Linked DNA regions of Schizosaccharomyces pombe. Changing the gene in region 2 together with the main gene of any one other region gives a genetic interaction. Each region holds a gene or a part of one and is shown on either strand. Other genes may lie near its edges.

What was found.
Region 1: mutations in ubc15 (region 2) and pmp31 together harm fitness less than expected from each alone (positive genetic interaction), as found in Schizosaccharomyces pombe (one large-scale study listed by BioGRID).
Region 3: mutations in ubc15 (region 2) and ppk27 together harm fitness more than expected from each alone (negative genetic interaction), as found in Schizosaccharomyces pombe (one large-scale study listed by BioGRID).
Region 4: mutations in ubc15 (region 2) and mpd2 together harm fitness less than expected from each alone (positive genetic interaction), as found in Schizosaccharomyces pombe (one large-scale study listed by BioGRID).

Annotation. Positions count from the first base shown.
Region 1 is NC_003421.2:611,903-615,931, forward strand, and holds pmp31 (plasma membrane proteolipid Pmp31), read right to left. Parts: upstream 2,063-4,029; 5' UTR 1,824-2,062; coding exon 1,726-1,823; exon of another isoform or gene 1,665-1,725; intron 1,663-1,664; coding exon 1,454-1,662; intron 1,404-1,453; coding exon 1,381-1,403; 3' UTR 858-1,380; downstream 1-857. Other genes in the region: rpl101 (60S ribosomal protein uL1), read right to left, coding at 1-648; wtf antidote-like meiotic drive suppressor Wtf10, read left to right, coding at 3,703-3,841, 4,011-4,029.
Region 2 is NC_003423.3:3,520,556-3,524,789, reverse strand, and holds ubc15 (ubiquitin-conjugating enzyme Ubc15), read right to left. Parts: upstream 2,021-4,234; 5' UTR 1,916-2,020; coding exon 1,871-1,915; exon of another isoform or gene 1,789-1,870; coding exon 1,645-1,788; exon of another isoform or gene 1,642-1,644; intron 1,567-1,641; coding exon 1,537-1,566; intron 1,520-1,536; exon of another isoform or gene 1,461-1,519; coding exon 1,235-1,460; exon of another isoform or gene 1,165-1,234; coding exon 1,106-1,164; 3' UTR 645-1,105; downstream 1-644. Other genes in the region: RAVE complex subunit Rav1, read right to left, coding at 31-117; EMP70 family endosomal transport protein Emp70, read right to left, coding at 2,392-4,082, 4,231-4,234. UniProt on the Schizosaccharomyces pombe protein: Catalyzes the covalent attachment of ubiquitin to other proteins. Has a role in the formation of chromatin structures that influence the localization of transcriptional silencing factors.
Region 3 is NC_003423.3:1,035,015-1,039,094, reverse strand, and holds ppk27 (serine/threonine protein kinase Ppk27), read right to left. Parts: upstream 2,019-4,080; coding exon 1,313-2,018; intron 1,246-1,312; coding exon 710-1,245; downstream 1-709. Other genes in the region: chaperonin-containing T-complex theta subunit Cct8, read left to right, coding at 1-548; rhn1 (RNA polymerase II transcription termination factor), read right to left, coding at 2,231-2,950, 2,998-3,192, 3,261-3,361, 3,410-3,557.
Region 4 is NC_003424.3:4,856,108-4,862,056, forward strand, and holds mpd2 (GYF domain protein), read right to left. Parts: upstream 3,947-5,949; 5' UTR 3,862-3,946; coding exon 3,824-3,861; intron 3,707-3,823; coding exon 766-3,706; 3' UTR 623-765; downstream 1-622. Other genes in the region: kinetochore protein fta1, read left to right, coding at 1-278; btf3 (nascent polypeptide-associated complex beta subunit), read right to left, coding at 4,512-4,921, 5,080-5,125; wsp1 (actin assembly factor), read right to left, coding at 5,423-5,457, 5,517-5,649, 5,700-5,949. UniProt on the Schizosaccharomyces pombe protein: Has a role in mRNA export from the nucleus.

The DNA.
Region 1 (4,029 bases), on a different chromosome or scaffold from region 2:
GTAAAGTCTGTGAGGCTTACCCATGGTAGATTTGACGACCAAGGAGCCAATGTTTTGCCAGCCCTTCTTCAACAAAGAAACCAAGAAGTTGACGGCAAGCATGATGTTAGCAATCAATTGCTCCTCAGACATCTCGACATGGCCGACAGCAACACCAAGGCAAAGGACCTTCTTCAATTGGAACTTGATAGTGGACTTAACCTCGGTGATTTTACCGTAAAGGTCGTCAGCATGGGAGACAGGGGAAGGGAACTTACCAGCCTTGGAAAGACCGGGACCCAACAGACGAGGAATTTGCTTGATGAGGACTTCAGAAGCAATGAAAGCATCATACTTCTTGGCCAACTTCTTGACAAGCTTCTTGTTCTTGTTAAGCTTTTTCAAGTCATCGACGGACATAGCATCGACACCACCGTGCTTGGCACGATCCAAATCATGGGCATCACCGAGAATGCAAATGGCCATGTTGGGACGAGGAACATTGGGCAACTTGATAGTACCGGAGAAACGCTTATCACGTTGAGGGTCATAGTTCTTCAAACCAATTTGAAGCTCGACAGTCTCAGTGAAGTTACGCTTCTTCTCTTCAGAGCCCTTGAGAATTTGCTCGACGTTAGAGCGGACCGAGGCAACGCTGACCTTAGACATGGTGCAATGCTGGTGTTGTGCGGATGCGTGAGGATTTCAGCTACTGAAATTTCATCGTTTGTGTTGCAGTAGAATGACAGTCACATTTAAGAAATAATTAGCATTAGGGTAGGGTCTAGTATATGAACATGCATACTTACTACTTCCAAGGAAATTTAGAATAAGGAGGTGCAAACTAAGTATCATTAGACTATTGTTACGTATACGGGTGATGCACATCGTTATACGGTAAAGATGTTGAAGGAAATCAATCTTAGTGTTGGAATTAAAGTACAAGGATTAATTTGGAGAATATTTATGACCTGGAATATTTGAAAATACATATCATATTAATTAGTGACTAGTCCAAAGGCATTGAAAAATTTATACAAGTGAATTACCCCACAGTATAAGATCAAGTTTATCGTAACTATAGATATGCATCAACTTTATTGAAAGCAATGAGGACAGTAATAAGTATCCTGTATCCAAGAAAGATCATAATCAAGCGAGCATATTTATATAAATCTTCAATGAAACATTGAAGCATCAAGCTGGGCCCATCGACCTGTAAAAAAACAGAGAGGCAATTTATTATAAATAAAGATTACAAACACATAGGAGGAAAACATATGAAAAAAGATGCTTCCATAACGAAACCATCTTGATTGGCGGAAATGCTCAATAAATACGCTTATTGCAAAATAGTAAGAAAGAAAGTAGCGCATCGAAATATTTCAAACATTTTTGCTCTTAAGGTGATTGATGTTTGTTGTCTTTTTAAAGTTAGTAAAAAAATTAAGAATGAGAACAAGTTAAGGCATACCGTTTGAGGCTAAAGACGAGTAGGAAGGAGGAGCAGGACCTGAATGAGGAGATACGGCATGTTCTGGATTAGGAGTATAACGAACGAGGGGATCGTTGGGAGAGTTCTCAATATCCAAACGAACCGTTCTTGGGTACTTAATAACTATGTAAATTGCATGGATGATTCCAGGAATGCCTAAAGCGCACAAGCAAATGTTGATTAGAAAACTAAAATAAAGTCAGCGACGTTGAAAAGGAAAAGACAGCAAAAAAGCCTGGAGGAAAACATACTCTGCGGTGCAAAAGCCCCTTCGAATGCCTACCACGATGAAAGGAACAAAGAAGGAGAGAACAATTAATAAAAAGTCACTAAGTGTAACATTCGACATTTTGAGTGATGCACACAGAGTTTAAAAAAGGTAAAAAAGTGTTAAAGTAAGAAAAGAAGCAAATAATGATTCAGTTGGTGGATTTTTTTAAAACCGACGAGATATATTTGAAAACCCAAAAAATCAGAAAACAGAACGATCCAAGAACAACGAAATCCGTTTACTTAAGATCCAAAAAGGCTTTAAAGTAGGTTCAGTTAGTAAACGTTGTTAATTGCTTTTATAGGTATGTTGCTGGTAAAAGACAAGTATGGTGAATGACGAAATTCAGCCTCACTGAGTGCCAAGCCAACACAGATGTAAACAAAAGGCGTAAAGAACGAAGAAAACATAGTGCACAAGACAATTGAGATAATAGAATCCGATATTTGATTTGAAGTGCCTATCAATATTCGGGACATTCCATTAGATCAGAGAGCCCCAATGAAAGAGTTAATGGCGTTAAAAATTTTAACCATGAAAAAACCTTGGCTTTTGTTTAAATTGTTTCATCCAATATCTCGGTTAACAAAATCTAGTTATTTCCTTGTCTAAATATGGGTACTAAAATTTTTACAATCTACCTATATTATCTCGCTTACATGATTATTGAACCCAATGTCCTCTCATACTCGTTCTTTAACAATAGGTACTTGATCAACCTCGTTTACATTATACTTTACTAAGGAAATAAGACAGGATCAAAAAATCCTTTATGAATACTAACTCTTCAGAATTATAGTATTAATAGCTACTTTTTGATACTATCACTAACTAAAATAATAACGCTTTTCCAATTCGTCAATATGAATGCAGCAAAACATGCAGGTACTTAACCAAAGTCGATTGACTTTCTTAACGTTAAAAAAAAGAACACTTCATAAATATTCCATTACTTTCATACTATGCATTTGCAATACGTATTAGTCACTGCGATGTGCTTACATATCAATTGAAAAGGTACCACAACATTTCGCTTTATCATGGCAGCAATTTATTGATACTATATGAACAGCAAACAATAAAGGAAACTAAAAATTATCGTGTTCTCTCCATTTTGTTCTGCTTACACCCATCTCACCTTTGTTTATTAAATAGTGATTTATTAGTGCGATGTCTAAAATGAGCGTTTTACTAACGCCAACATCTTAAAATACGGTATTAGAAAGAGCGTATCGTTATTTAACTACATTGCTATCAGCAATACTGCACTATAATATTACACTACGCTACATATCACTATATGTCACATGTTCTAATGTCCTGTTTGCTTCATTTACTTTATATGATAAGTTATCAAACAAATTATAATATCATCCATGGTAATATGACTACCAAGCCTTTTTCAATATTGTAAATTCTGATCAACTAAACTGAGGAACGAAGTTCAGTTATAAGTTAGATTAAGTGATAGGTAGCAATGAAACCTACATACTAGAATACATTTACCAAGTTGCTACTTGCATTACCTGTGTAATGCAATATATGATCATAAGGAAAACTAACCACAAGTTCTACGTATCGTTAAACAAATACCAAACTGCGTAATTGACATGATTTGCGAAGTGACTTGTAGTGTCATATTTTATTACACAGTAACAAAATACTTCGAGATCTCTATTAATGCATAAGGAAAGCTAAGTTAGGGTGAATAAAAAGGGCAGTGACAAAATAAATGTGTCAGAAGCAATTACACTAAAATGAGTTTTGGAAATCTACTTTTCACTTGCTATTATTGAAGAAACAGTTTGCTTTGAAACGAGTATTGTTCATTTATTTATATTGAACGGCGGGAACTGAACTCCAGAGTGAATATTCTTGATTTTGCTGTTTCGTTTGTCGCAATCATAGCAATTAATTCGCGCATGTGTTTTATTAAATAAAGAATGATCTTGATGAAATGAAGAATAATTGCACTTCCTTGAAAAGTTCTATAGATGAGGAAGATGAATTGAAGACAGATCATGAAATCGATTTGGAAAAAGGGCTACTCCCAGAATATGATTCAAAGGAAGAAGGCGCATTACCTCTATATTCAGGTAAGAATTGTAAATAATAAGAAAGGAATTATTCAATTGAAAGTTGTAACTTGCCATTGCTGTAAAATAACTTGGATGTGATCATTGTTTACAGTTGGCCATGCAATGCACACACTTTGATACATGCTTTTTCTTAACTAAAGTCTTTCAATCATATTAATTTAAACAGATCATGCACGTTTAAGCAA
Region 2 (4,234 bases):
AACGCATATCGTTTGCGTCCATTCACTTACTAATATTCGATTTTGGTTCCATTGTACATTGTCGTAGGCAGCTGTACGTTTTAGAGGTGTACCGGGATTTGTGAATGCCAGAGGCATGTTTACTGCAGAACGCTGTGCATGAGCTAAAATTGGATTTTTTTCGACTTGCAAATAGTTAAGGGAGAAATGACAATGATAAAAGCTATTAATATCTGATTTGACCTAATAGCTGTCTACGTTCCATATACGCATTTGAACCAGTGTGAACACCACCATACTGCGGAATAGCGTAATATTAATTGTCATTCTGAAAAGTTTAAGCATAATGCAATAAAAAAACGCTAAATGAAAAGGCAATGCTTTCACGGTTCTTAATGCAATTTTAATATTCATCTTAAATGGTTACTCTGAGTATTTAATTTTCAAACTCAACGAAGTTTCGCTAGATTCTTTAATTGGTTTGATTAATCATTGAATCAGTCATTCGGATACGTAGGAGACATTGAGCTAGTTAGTGTAAAATATAATAGACTGAGATTTATCGCTGCATTCAATGTATGTTGTGCAAAACGCGGAATTGAAACCGTCGCTGATAAAGTATGAGCGTATAAGCGAAAATAATTACTTGAATAGAAAATTTTCAATGGAAAACTATCAATTCACGAAGTATTAGCTGACGTTTGTTCAAAGAAAAAAATTCAATCGTGAAATGTAGATTTTTATTTGTTGTTTATCTAAATTATGGCTGTAATTGGTAAAGAAGTAGGATAAATCACTTGCGGTTGTAACACTTGAAAAACTTGAAAGCTTTATAATAAAAACAGAAAAGAATCAAAAGCTGTTAGTTTTAAAATGTCAACCGTTCTGCCAATATTTCATTATATGTGATAATAAATGAACAGTTTGCTAAACTTATTCAAAAAATGGGCAACGGCAATACTTCAAAGATGGCATAAAATATGCAATTCAACTTGTAAAGCTACAGACTTTTTGAGTAAGCTTTACTGCTAGTTGACTTAGGAGGTTTTCTATGCAGCGACTTGAATTTCCTTCATAGCCTTTTTTCTAAATATAGGAAATTAGGGACCTAGGTTGAACATTATCTTCAAATCATTTCAATTGACCTGCGAACAAGTCGACGAACTCTTTTCTTAAATTCTTGTGCTGGAAAAAGTTAGTACGATTTGATTATTAAAGAGTAAATTTTTTTGTTTGTAGGTTAGTATATACTCACGATTTTCTCGAAATTCCTTGGCAGCATCTATATTGGCAGGGGACTCATCATTAGGGGAAGAAAGCATGGAAATTACACTAATCAATATGGTTTCCGGAGAGTGTACCGGAAGCCAACGTTCTCCAGCATCCTCGTATCCATACTTGTCATCTCCTGGTGGGTGAAGAATCGATATGCAAACTTCGCCATTCGGATGAACATTAGGGTGCCAAATTTCCGTTGTGAACTGTTACCGTTAGAATCGTTTTTAGGCATAGACTATGTAGTTTCTATCAATTAAAAAATCAATGTATTTACTATACCTTCATCTTTGGAGGCATCAGAGGATAATCCTAATTTTTCGAGGTTAGTGACCAGCTTGTTTACCTTATACAACAAATATTATTTTTCTGTGAAACATAAATACATACTTGAGGAAACGATAATGTTGCATGGAAAAAACCACCTTCATATAATGTATCTTCTGGTCCAATGATCATAACTTCCCATTCAAAAATGGATTTATCATCGACTAAACCAACGCTAAAACCCTGTGGAGGATTTTTTTGAATTTCCTATATCTATCAGTATGTGTTCAAGAATTAAGATACTATGTACAATCATGAATATTTGGATATGAAGATTTCGTGCGCTTACCTTTAGTTGTTTTCGAAGAAGTTGTTCACTAGCAGAAGAAGGCATACTTCCGATATTTTAATAATTACGTTCTAAATATTTGGTAAACTGAGAAAAAGTAATATAAAGACAATTTTTAAAGTAGGGTTGAGCTGAAGGCGAAATACTGGTAGTTGAAAAAGGTTTGGGCGAGCTTCGTAAATATAGTTAGAGTAATATTCCTTTTTTGTATTATTTATGTAACATATAATAAAGCTTTTAACGTAGAAAACATAAATTTAATTTACTCTAAGTAAACATTTTGGTTAAGATTACAATTTTCAAATTTCTTCTATGATATAGTACCTAAGGTTTTATTACACAAAGTAAAACAAACTGTAGTTATATATTGGATGACCGAAAAAAAACGGCATATTCCTATGAAATTATTTGAATATAAAAGAGAGTGTTCTCCAAGTCATTTTGTTGATTAATAAGGTTTGTAACGGAGAAAGCTCAAATTGAACAATAAATAAAGAGGTATGTACAAATGCCTCGAATAATCAATCAATTTTAATGGACGCATAAATTTTGTTAACAAAGAGAAAGGCGCCAAAGAAACCAACCGATCCACATAAGAAAAATACCAAAACAGAAATCAGTAAACTATAGCCGAAATAAAGAACGGCAGTAGCAAGGGAAGATGATGAGATTTTAAAAAACCAGTAAAATACTGAAAATATAAATACATAGATTCCACAAAATCCAGGTGTTATGAAAGAGCGCCACCACCAGTTGTAGTTTTCGGAACACAATTGGAAATAAACAGTGATAATGGAAACCATGATACAAGTGGTTACTAAAATACCGAAGCAAAAGAACGAGAAACCGAACATGAAATACAATGGGTGAAACCATAAACTGTCAAGGATAGAAAACAATTCAATAAGGATTACGAGGAATGGTATAGATCCACCGATAATCGCACTAGGAAAACTCGAAAGCCAAATACTATGAGATGGAATTTGACGAGGGATTTGGTTTGTCCTAACAGGTGGGACGAACTCTCGAGAACGAAAGCCGATTAAAGAACCGACAAAGCTTAATGGTACAGTAAACAATAGATACAGGAAAATGAGTAGAAGCCAGCTTGAAAAGGGTACAGTTGATGATGAACTTTTACTCCAAAATACCATGTTAAAGAAAAGAGCTGCCGCAAGCATAAAACCAGGTACGACAAAAGGAGTTAACAGAAGATTTCGCTTTCTAAGCATACCTTGCATCAGTTTGTAGGATAATGCAGATACATAACCAGAAACGAAACCTGATATAATGAATAAGGCCACCGTTGCTGTAGCTAAACTTCCACGACGAGAGGGTGCAACAATGCCAAAAATTGCAAATAAAACGATACCAGAGCTCATAAAAAGAAGTTGTGCACCAGTCCCTAAAAGGATAGAAAATAGCATGGGTCTACGAGGTGGACGAAATACATCACCATGAACTAGCTTCCAACCAAAATCTTCTTGAACATCTTCTTGATCGACAAAGGCGCTATTATATTTATTAATGTCACGATTTAGCGTTCTGTACAAAATAATAGAAACCACAAAAATTAGAAATGTGTCAATAATTGCGGAATGGATAATAAAGATCCATCGAATTTGCCTAGATTCAATGTGCATATATTTGTCCCATCGGGTAGCCCATGGAGTATCGGAATATTTCCAAGAGACTGAGTAAGAGGTCACGAGAGTAAGATCAGCTCCTTCCGGTAAATACTGTGGATTTGAAGACGAAGAACAAACTGGGTTTCCATCAACTAAAGTAGACTCCTTTGAGACAGGTTTTACATAAGCACCCACAACACGGTGTTGGTCACTAGATGTCGTATGATATTCTATAACTATATCATAATGATTGAATAGAATTACTCCCTTCTCCGTATTCTTGCCTAATGGAAAGCCTGGCGATAATGAGTAGTTCTTTGAGTTAGTCCCTTCTAAATATGTTGCTACGGGCAGATTATCTATGTTCCAGTTAACAACGTAGTTTTTGGAGATTAAATCTCTAATAAAACTGACATCTGAACTGGGAATTATCGAGGCACACAAGGGAACACAATCCTGGTTTTCAAGCATTTTTATTTCAATGGGAGAGTTGTAGAGACGGTCGCCAAAAAGCACACTTCCAAGTGACTCAGATTGTTTTGCGATATTCTCTGGTCGACAGAAGTGGAAACGCTCATCGTAGTCTAAAGTGAAGTTAGTAACAAGCAAAAAAGTTCGAGAGAAAATGTTATATCCTTCATTAAATCATATTTCTATAGTGTTTTCCTAATTTAAAATTGTAAAGTTTTTAAAAAAACACATGAACCTTCATGTGAGCTATCAACCACGTACATTC
Region 3 (4,080 bases), 2.5 Mb from region 2:
AAGTTGAGGATATTACACGTACTGCAACAATCGTGCTTCGAGGGGCTACTAAGACATACTTGGATGATTTGGAAAGAGCGATTGATGATGGTGTAAATATCGTAAAAGCTTTGGTCAAAGATAACCGTTTAATCTTTGGTGCTGGAGCTAGTGATATGCAACTCTGTATTCGTCTAATTTCAGTTGGTGAAAAAACTCCTGGTATATATCAACATGCAATCAAACAGTATGGAGAAGCATTTGAGGTTGTTCCTAGGACTATTTCAGAAAACGCTGGATTAGATCCTACTGATGTTATTAGCAAACTTTATGCTGCCCATCATAAGGAAAACGGTGAATCAATTGGAGTTGATGTTGAATGTGAAAATGATGGAACATTAGATGCGAAAGAAGCTGGTATATTTGATGTTTTATTAGCAAAAAAATCAGCAATTAGATTAGCAACTGAAACTGTACTCACTGTTTTAAACGTTGATCAAGTTGTTATGTCTAAACCAGCTGGAGGTCCAAAACCACCTGGCCCCAACCCTCATTGGGATGATGATTAAAATTTAAGTGAGTTTCATTTTTCTACTAGGATTGGATTAAAACGATGAATAGTTTTTGTAAAAATCTGCTACTAATTTTCTATTGAAATTAAAAGCGCGTTATCAAAATAATTAGGTACAGACATAATCCATTGAAGTAAGACATTTATCATTAAAGGTCTCTAAATCGTAACGTTCTCTAATAACGGTAAAGTAAAGTTGCCATGTTTATTAAAATCTTTTAACAATTCAGTCGGTGTGCTGCGCTGGTCTCTATTTTTGAGAAGTTTTTTCACAAATAAGCGGAACCGCCATGAAGGATCGTCGTTATCATTAGTATTTCCAGTAGATCTTTTGAATGGCGATTTGCATAAGTGCCATGTATAATCACATCTTACAAGCCTTTGAACATAACGTTTGATCCTTACATTCTCAGGATCCAAAGTTGGGTAGGAGTCAAAGGGAAGACGACCCTCTAATAGTGCAAATAAAACTATTCCGAGAGACCAAGCGTCCGCGCGAAATCCATCATGTGCAATACCCATATAAACTTCCGGTGGTGCATATTCTTGGCTGCCGCAGCTGGATTGCACTAAATGATTTTTACTGTCAACAAAAATAGAAAGCTCAAAGTCAGAAATCTGAATTAAAGCATTTGGGTAGTTCTTCCAATTATCAATCGTCTTTATAACATTATAAGGTTGGGTAAGCAATATATCTAAAGACAAAGTGTTAGTTTAAAATCATAACTGTAAAAGTTGAAAATCCTTATTCATCGAGCTTACTTTCAAGTTTTAAATCTCTATGAATCAAACATTTGGAATGAAGGTAAGCAACTGTATGTACTAACTCAGAAAAAATTCGCCCAACAAATTCAAGGCTGAAATCCGAATGATGTTTTTTAGTGTAATGATAGAGATCTCCTCCCATACAATAATTCTCTACGAGTATTAATTCGGCGGAGGAAACGTAGTAATTTAATAGCTGCACAACACATGGATGCGACAAAGTTTTGAGGGCCCAAATTTCTTGCCGAAATACTTTTACTCTAGCTTTTTTTTCGTTTTGAGACTTGGATGATAAGTGAGTATGTTTTAGGACGATGGAAGTATCAAACTTCTTATTATTAGATTTGACAAGCAGTACTTCCCTTTGTTCCGTAGAGGTGATTTTAGTATTTATAGACCACAAATATTTCTCATTCTCGTCTGAATATAAAGCATATCCTCTACTTCTGCCTAATTGAAGAGAATACAATGATTTTTTTTGTATATTAGTTAAGCCAAAAATTAAATCGGAAAAAGTCTCTAAATCTCTATTAAATGGAGCATAGTTAGAAATTTCTAGTTTAGTTAAATCGTTCGTCAATGATTCAGATATATCAGTCTCAGACGGAAGAGCTGAAATATTCGGATTTACATGACGAATTTTATTTGAAAGAGGATATAGTTGCAGCGATTTTTCTTCGCAAGAATGTTTTTTTTCAGACATTAAAAGCCCATTCTTCCTAGATAGGGCTCAACTTTCTTCGAAATATACAAAATTCCAAAAACGGCTTCGATAGGATGAAGTCAGGTACTGACGCATATAAAAGGTTAGGATAGGTATTCTAAAAATGCTTATTGACTAAGACTGCCACATTGATTGACAGTTTAAAAAAAAAAAGAAAAATAATGAAAACTAAGCATTACATTTCATGGATTTCAGCTATCACCATATAGACCAGCTGCACTAGAGTCGTCCGAAGAGGGAGAACTATCTTTTCCATAGATATCTGAGTCTTCTGGTAATTCTTTAGATTCCTCTTCATTTTCTTCTTTTCTCTGGCTTTTAAATAATGATGTTTCTTCTTCTTCTTGGGAATAGGGTCCACTGGCAGGAGGAGGAAGAGGAGAGAGATTGTCTTCAGATGGATTTTCGACAATATTGGAAGTATATGGTACGCTGTTAATGCTTGGAGAGTAAGAATCTACTTGAGGAGAATAAGCATCATCACTGTTTGGAGAACTAGACGGAGGTGATGTTGTTTCTACATTATGTTTGCCAGCAGTAGAACTTTTATCTCCAAAACCTGCATCGGTCAAGGTAGAGGTAGCTGTTGTACTTTCCTTATTCTCTAAATTAGAAATTATGGATTCAACAGATTTTAGGCTCTCTTCTTCCTCTGAAAGTAGCTTTTTTTGTTCTTCTATAAGCGATTCCAAGGAAGTAATGAGTGTGGATCGGGATTCGATGCAAGCCTGATAATTACCTTTACATGATTCAGAGGCTTTATTTAGTTGCTTTTTATAATTATCGAGTAGTTCAGAATAATCTGATTGTTTCTCCAAGTATGATTTATACAATGCATCTACCACAGTTTTGGTAGAGTGAGCAGATTTTGCGTATAAACTAGTTTGTGTCATTAAACGAGTGTAAGGTGCCTATGCAATTAGTAAAGTTCTGATATTTTATTTGAATTGCGGCATACCCATTCCGGAGGGCCAACGGGGTAATAGTTAGAATGGCCACTGTTCTCGGCATTATTAAACCTTTCCTGCAAGGATAAAAGTATCTCCTTAGAAAATATGCCGCGTTGACACCAAACGTCAAAAACGTATTTGATTTTTGTTTTAATGGAAGCAGGAACTGACGCGTACGCGTCAGCTACAGAGTTTACGACATACTATGCAAATATTATTAGAATCTAAACCATATAGGAGATGTTCCAAGCTCATAATGATAGTAACTTACTGGAGAAACGGCATCAATATATTCAGATATTTTTTTGACCCGGGATTGTTGAACGACTTCGTTGAGCAGGTAAAGCAATAAAAGCTTTTTGTTGGAAGAAGCTGGTTAAATTAGTTAGACAATCGAACAAATTCCTAAAGGAGTCATACATTCATACAAAGCTTCCAGCCATATTTGGACAATTTCATCAGCATAACGCTTGTGAAACATAACCCAATGCGCTATTCCCGTTATACTTTCTTGTGTTTCATTTAGAGTAGCCAACTTTGAAGAAACAGTGTCTGGAGTCAAAGCCATCTTGTTTTATGCTGATGGTGAGTTTCTTACGACACACTGCTGTTAGCATCGCAAACGAAATCATAAGCATAAGTAATAAATACTTCTTGTATAATATCAATGTTTTACATTATAGCCTATACTTAAAATGATTTTGAAACAACAGATTAATTAGTTTGGGTAGAGCAAAAATCTTCGTCTCATTTGTAAAGATGGAAAAGAACATTTATTATTCTCAAACTACCCAGTTTTCTCCAAGATTCCCTCTTAAATATTAGGTATATAAAATACATTATTCGTTTTCTCATGATTTTGTTTAGTCTCAGCAGGTCATCTTAGCTAACGGCTATCACTCACTGTAACATTTACAGTACGAGTTTTGGTAAGAATGCTAGACGAAATCTTGTGATGTTATATGTTGGGGATTATGAAAAGAAACTATTCGGCGTGTTGAGAAATGTGTACGGAGTGCAAATGTGTGTTTTAATGACTTGTCTGAAGCAGGAATTACTATATACTACTCACCGCATTGAGACTTTGTTTT
Region 4 (5,949 bases), on a different chromosome or scaffold from region 2:
CCGGAAATCCTAATCTTTCATCAGTCACAATTTCCATAAGACCTGAAGATTTAAAAAAAATTTTCCGTAGCTCCTCATTTTTCTACCCAATTCTTATGGAACATATCAAAAGGTGTACTTCTTTAGATTTGACAAACTCAGTATTCTCACTTTCCAAAGTGAACACTGATTGTGCCATTCTAACATCGTCCGGCAAGCTGAAAATCTTTTCTAAAGCTCAAAATATTGTATTTGATGTTTTGTTAGCCCTTGAGCCCATGCAATTGCCCGAGTATTAATGAATTATAAGGGTTTAAGTTTGTCACTATGCGTTGAGCCTCTTTCCTTCATGCCAGCTTTACATTTATGTCAAAGAAATGATACACTTGCTCCTAAATACGTGAATGCAAATTGACTGATCAGTTTGCCGTTATATTTATATTTAGCACTAAAAATACCATTAAGTTAAAATTATGTTAAACTAGAATAATAATATTTTGGTAGTATTTTTTTTTTAAAATTACATAATAGTTAACTACAGTATCCTCCATAATAAATTTGTGTACTACAAAATCGGTTTAGTAAGAACTGGTCAAGAACACTTATAACCTCTACATTGTTCGTTCACCAGCTTAACAATACAAGTTCAACAAATGTACAAATATTATATATATTTGAAATATGGATTATTAACTTAAAATTTTTAGCACTCCAATATTATACAACCGAAACCGATTTTTATTGTATCCATGCAAGATCACAAAACATCAACTCAAAAGATTCAAATTATACCCGCTTTTTGTTTTTTTTACTAGTAACCACTTTAAACGCCGAATTCCATTCAGTACCTTGCTTTGGCTTGTTACGAACAACCTGACTCCAAGCACCACTAGAGTTACCCAACTCTGATTGAGACTTATTGTTAGATTGTTGCCCATCTTTGCCAGTTAAATCGGCTATACGACGGCGAGTAAACTCACTAGCAAAGCGACGTCCATCCATAATAGTACTATTAGCATAAATGGAATCCGAGATAATCTCAAAAGTTTCAACATTATTTTCAGCTGGCAAAGAAAGTAACATATCGAGAAATTCTTCGTAATTAACACCTTCATTCAAACCTTTCAAAGAAATCTTGCACCATGCTAAAAAGTCCGGCGAATGACCCGACATTGACACAACTTGTTGTAATTTTGATGAAGTAGATGCTTGAGAATTACCAGCATTTAATGTAGCCGAAACTTTAGAGGGAGAACGAGTCGTTTGTTGAGCAGAAGGAGATTGCTGATTAACGATTTTCCCACCAGGTCCAACTACAGACCATGTATCCTCGCCTTCGAACGTAGAGGTTTCTAATATAGATGTTACATTTTTCATTGTAACATTACTAGAAGGGGCAGCTGCCTTTGGAGTGTTAGCATTTAATGCATTAGAACGAGGACTGGCAGTAGTAACGGAAGATTGCTGTTTGTTTTGGGCAAGCTCAGCTTGCTGAATATTTTTCTTTATCAACGGAGACTTGAGAGCAGCTGGCTTGTTGGCCCACGCATTTATTACAGACGGGCTTCCCCAAATGGAGCCTGAAGCAAGAGCTGGTGTGGAAGCTTTGGCATTTGTGGAAGTTTGTGAAACAGGATTGGAAGCAACTTTGCTTTTCAAATTCTCATTTTGTTTTTCCATGCGTTGAATTTCTTGAGCCATTGAAGTAGACACATCACTAACTTTAGCCCAAGGTGAACCGGTTTTTGAAGTGCTAGGAATGGCGACAGGTGGTTGATCGCTGTTAGATTTTTCAACTTGAGGAAGCGCTTCAGAACTAGCAATACTCATTTCCCTACTTATAGTCTCATCGAGAGAAGGTAAATGCTTAGGAGGAAGAGATTTCCAAGGAGAAGGCTTTGGAGCCGTAGTTTGTGATCCGCTAGTAACGGGGATTTCTTTCGAAGCTGCAGGAGACTGTTTTTGCACACCCGTAGAAAGTCTTTTCGATTCAACAGTTTCCTTAAGCTTCGACGGCTTTTCTTGCTTAGTTTCCTCAGAGAGACTGATAGAACCGAGATCTTTTGACAATTGATTTAACGATTCATTATGATGAATGGGAGTGTTTTCTTTTTCATACATATCAGAGTTGTCAGAAGTACCAAGGGCCGATTCCTCCTTTTGGTTAGCACTGTCTTCATTAACATTGAGCTCAGAACTTCGGCACTCGGATTGCTGATTATAGGAAATCTCAGATAACGAGTTTGCTTTTGATTCATCATTTCTAACATTTGAAACTTCCGCAGTACTGGGATATAATTCAAGGTGTTTGTTTCCACCTCTATTTTGTTCAGAGCTCTCCGGAAGATAATTGCTCAAAGGAAGATCGGTTCCTTGAGCATTCCAAGAGGCGTTTTGAACAGTTACAGGTGATAGAGGAACCAAGAAGGGTTCCAACTGGTTGCCCACCTGACGAATAAAAAAGGCAAGAGAGTAATACTCTTCTTCTTCTAGCCTCTTTATTGGCAAGCCAAGAGGAAAATAACCAGCTCTATACCATTGATGCATATCTACTCCAGTAAAGGGGCCTTGGACATTATTTTGAGGGTCTTTATAAAGCCAATGCAGAAGAGCGGGAGGAATTAACGAAGCCAAGTGCTGAGGAAACGCCTCCGAAGAAAACATAGCTGTAGAGGGAGACATAGCAGCCGCAGGACTATTGACAGCAGAATGCTCACGTTGAGATGCGCTTGGTGCAACAGGTTGGGACGCGTTCTCTTTAATAGATGCTTTAGCTTTGGCCTTATCAACAAGAATATTTAGTGGAGAATCAGTGTCTCTAATACTCATTGAATTTCCCACTGGAACGTTGGAATTAGTGGGAAATCGAGATGGACCTCTGCGTAGTGGGGACTGAGAGAAATCTGCGAGATTATCAACCTGTCCAACAGGAGAAGCCACGGATTGTGTTAAACCTGCAGATATTCCATTTGATGATCCAGAAGGATGGTAAGCAGAGCTTGATAGAATTTCAAGAGAATGAGTATTAGCTGAAGCAACATTCGGTTCCCCACCTGGTTGATTGCTTGAAGAAGTGTTCAAGTCAGGAAAAGTATCAGAACCAGCACGCTGCGGCTGTTGCAAAGTCCCAACACCGGGATTCATATTACCAGAAACCGCTGAGCGACTTTGAGAAAATGAAGAAGGGCTGCGATCTAATACAGGACGATTGATATGATTAAAAGGGCTCCCCAGTTTGGGAGAAGCTGTGCCCGTTGTTATAGAATTCGAGGATGGAAAACAATCCCTTAAAAATCCAGGAGATATGCCCTCATTAGAAAAAGCGTTTGTAAAAGAGGTGTTGGCATTTTTAGAATTAAACAAATTGGTAGACATATCAAAGGTGCTACTTGGATTATTTGCAACAACTGGATTTTTATAAAAAGGAGAACCACCATTTGAAACAATGGCTGGGTTTGCTGATGAGGTTGTTGACGATACTGTAGGATTTTTGCTAGTCAATTCAGAAGGTGCATTTAAAGAGTCCCACATATTGCCACTTTTTAAAGACAGTTTTCTTTGTGAATCCAATTTTGCAGAAACAGAAGGGTCAATATGAGACGATGTAGGAGAATCCACTCCATTTGTGGCAGTAGGTTTAGTAAAAGATGTTAACTGAGGAAAAGCACCAGTTGTTGAAGAACTCGAGTTATTTGCTTTTTTATGTAACGAATGTGCCAGCTGGCTCCTACAAAACATAAGTTGTTAGTACAAGGCAATTTGAAACTCAAAGTATTTCAAGCGTATCAGAAACGCAATTTTTTGAAAATCGTAAAATGTGGTAAATCCCAGGAAAAAAACTTACCAATCCATATTACTAAATACACTTGCTTCTGAATTCATAATTTTAGCACTTTCTCTCTTAAAGTAAAAAATCCTTGTTATCTTTTAACAACCAGCAAATCTGTTTGTTGTAAAGGTTTTAGGTGGAAAAACGTAACAATAACGCCGTTGCAATAAATAACGACAAATACAGCTGAGCGGGGGTAGCGGCGACAATCGTGTGGGGGAGATGCACTTACTGTGGAACGTGGGTGTTCTGCAATAATTGCCTACCACGCCGCATCGAAAATTTAGTTTATTGAAATTAGCGATTCCTATTAACAATACGAAGTAAATGCTTAACGTAGGCTAATTTCCGCAATTCTTGAATAAGTCCAAACCATCTTTAAAAAGATTATTGCCAAGCTTACTTATAAGGAAAATGACAGCAAAGATTTTTTAACCAAATTAATCAAAGAAAACTATATATTGAAAATGGTTGAATTGTATAACCTTAACAAGTACAAGAGAGACCTCTTGTACCTTGCCAACGTGCATTTACAAAGCGTCAGTATATCCCTCGCTTACTGCACTTAAATTTGCTAAAATCTTTATCTTACGAATTACATAATTACGATTTTTCAAATTACTGATAATACCATAGTCACTTTACATATATTAGCACCCAAATCTTGAGTCAAAAATCCGACATGAAATATTTTGTTGCTTATTTAATCTTGTTCGTCAAACTTTTCGACAAGGTCAGGAATTTCTCCATCGTCGGCTTGTGCATCAGCTCCCTTTTCACCTTCACTGACCTTTAATTGCTCAGCCATTTGACGAAGGGCAGTCAAGGATTCAGGACCAAGGTTGTTCAAAATGCCAGGCAAAATCTCAGACAAAGTCTTTTCCTCTGCTTTACCATAGATAGCTGTAGTTTCATTAGGAAGCGAGGAATGAACGGTAGGTGCACGGAAATTAATGACTCCGCCATCTTCCTTGAACATGTTAACCTCTTGGATGCCAGCAAGGTTTTGCATATTCAACTTTTTCAAGGCACCTTGAACCTTCTTGTCATCAGCAGCACTCATGGCAGACTTAGAAGGCTTCTTCACCTTACGACGAGGGGTACCCTTTCCACCTATACAATGATAAGTTAATTAAGCAGTTCTCTATGAAAAAAGTACAACTGTGTTTTCAATAGCCAGCATCAATTACAGTGGAACCACTTTGAAACCGTTCAAGGCATTTCTTAGAGCTGGTGTCAACTTCAAAACACGGGGATGCATTCGAACATACCAATACGAGCGCCAGCCTGCAACTTAGCCAATTTGGAGGGATCCATTTGTTTCTATTTGACCAAACGTTTTTGGTTGTGGAAGGACTTGAACTTGACGTTTCTAAAGTTGTGGTACCGAAATGTGTGACTGCTCCCATACTTACAATAAAGTAAAGATACACACTGTGTTGCGATATATGAATAGTAATATCAACACAAATTCGCGTTATTCAATTTAGAATAAATGGTGTTTGCTCTAATACAATAAACACAAATCCAAATAAAAATAGTGAAGTCGTTTAACAAAACTTTAAAAGACTGTGTGAATCAAAAAAGTATAGGTAATTTCAAAGATATTAATAACTAGTCCCACTCATCGTCGTCTTCATCCTCTTCGTCTGAAAGAATTAGTAAACTTAAGAACTTTTGAAAAAAAATACGAGAAATCCGGACATACCACTCTGAGCGACTTTGGTTTTACGTTGGTTCAAAGCGCTTGCCAATGCATCCATAAGATTGTTAGAAGGGGGTGCTTCTACCGGAGGATTCGAAGTTTTTGTAGATGCGACACTAGGAGAAGCAGATACTTTCTGGAAAATATTAGTACGAGTAACCATTAAGTAATAATATCAATACTTACCCTGCTTTTCAGTAAATCCATACCACCGCTGGCTCTGATACTGGCCATTAAATTAGCACGGCCGTCTTGTTGAGGCAATTCAGCTATCGAAGCAACAGGCGCGGCGGGCGCAGGAGCTGGAGCTGGAGGAGGAGCTGGTGCAGCGGGAGGCAATGGTGGAGCAGCTGGCATACCAGCGGGTAGAGGAGGAGCAATTGGTGCACTAGGTGGTAGGGGGGGAGCAGCTGGTGCGCCCATAGGTAGAGAAGGT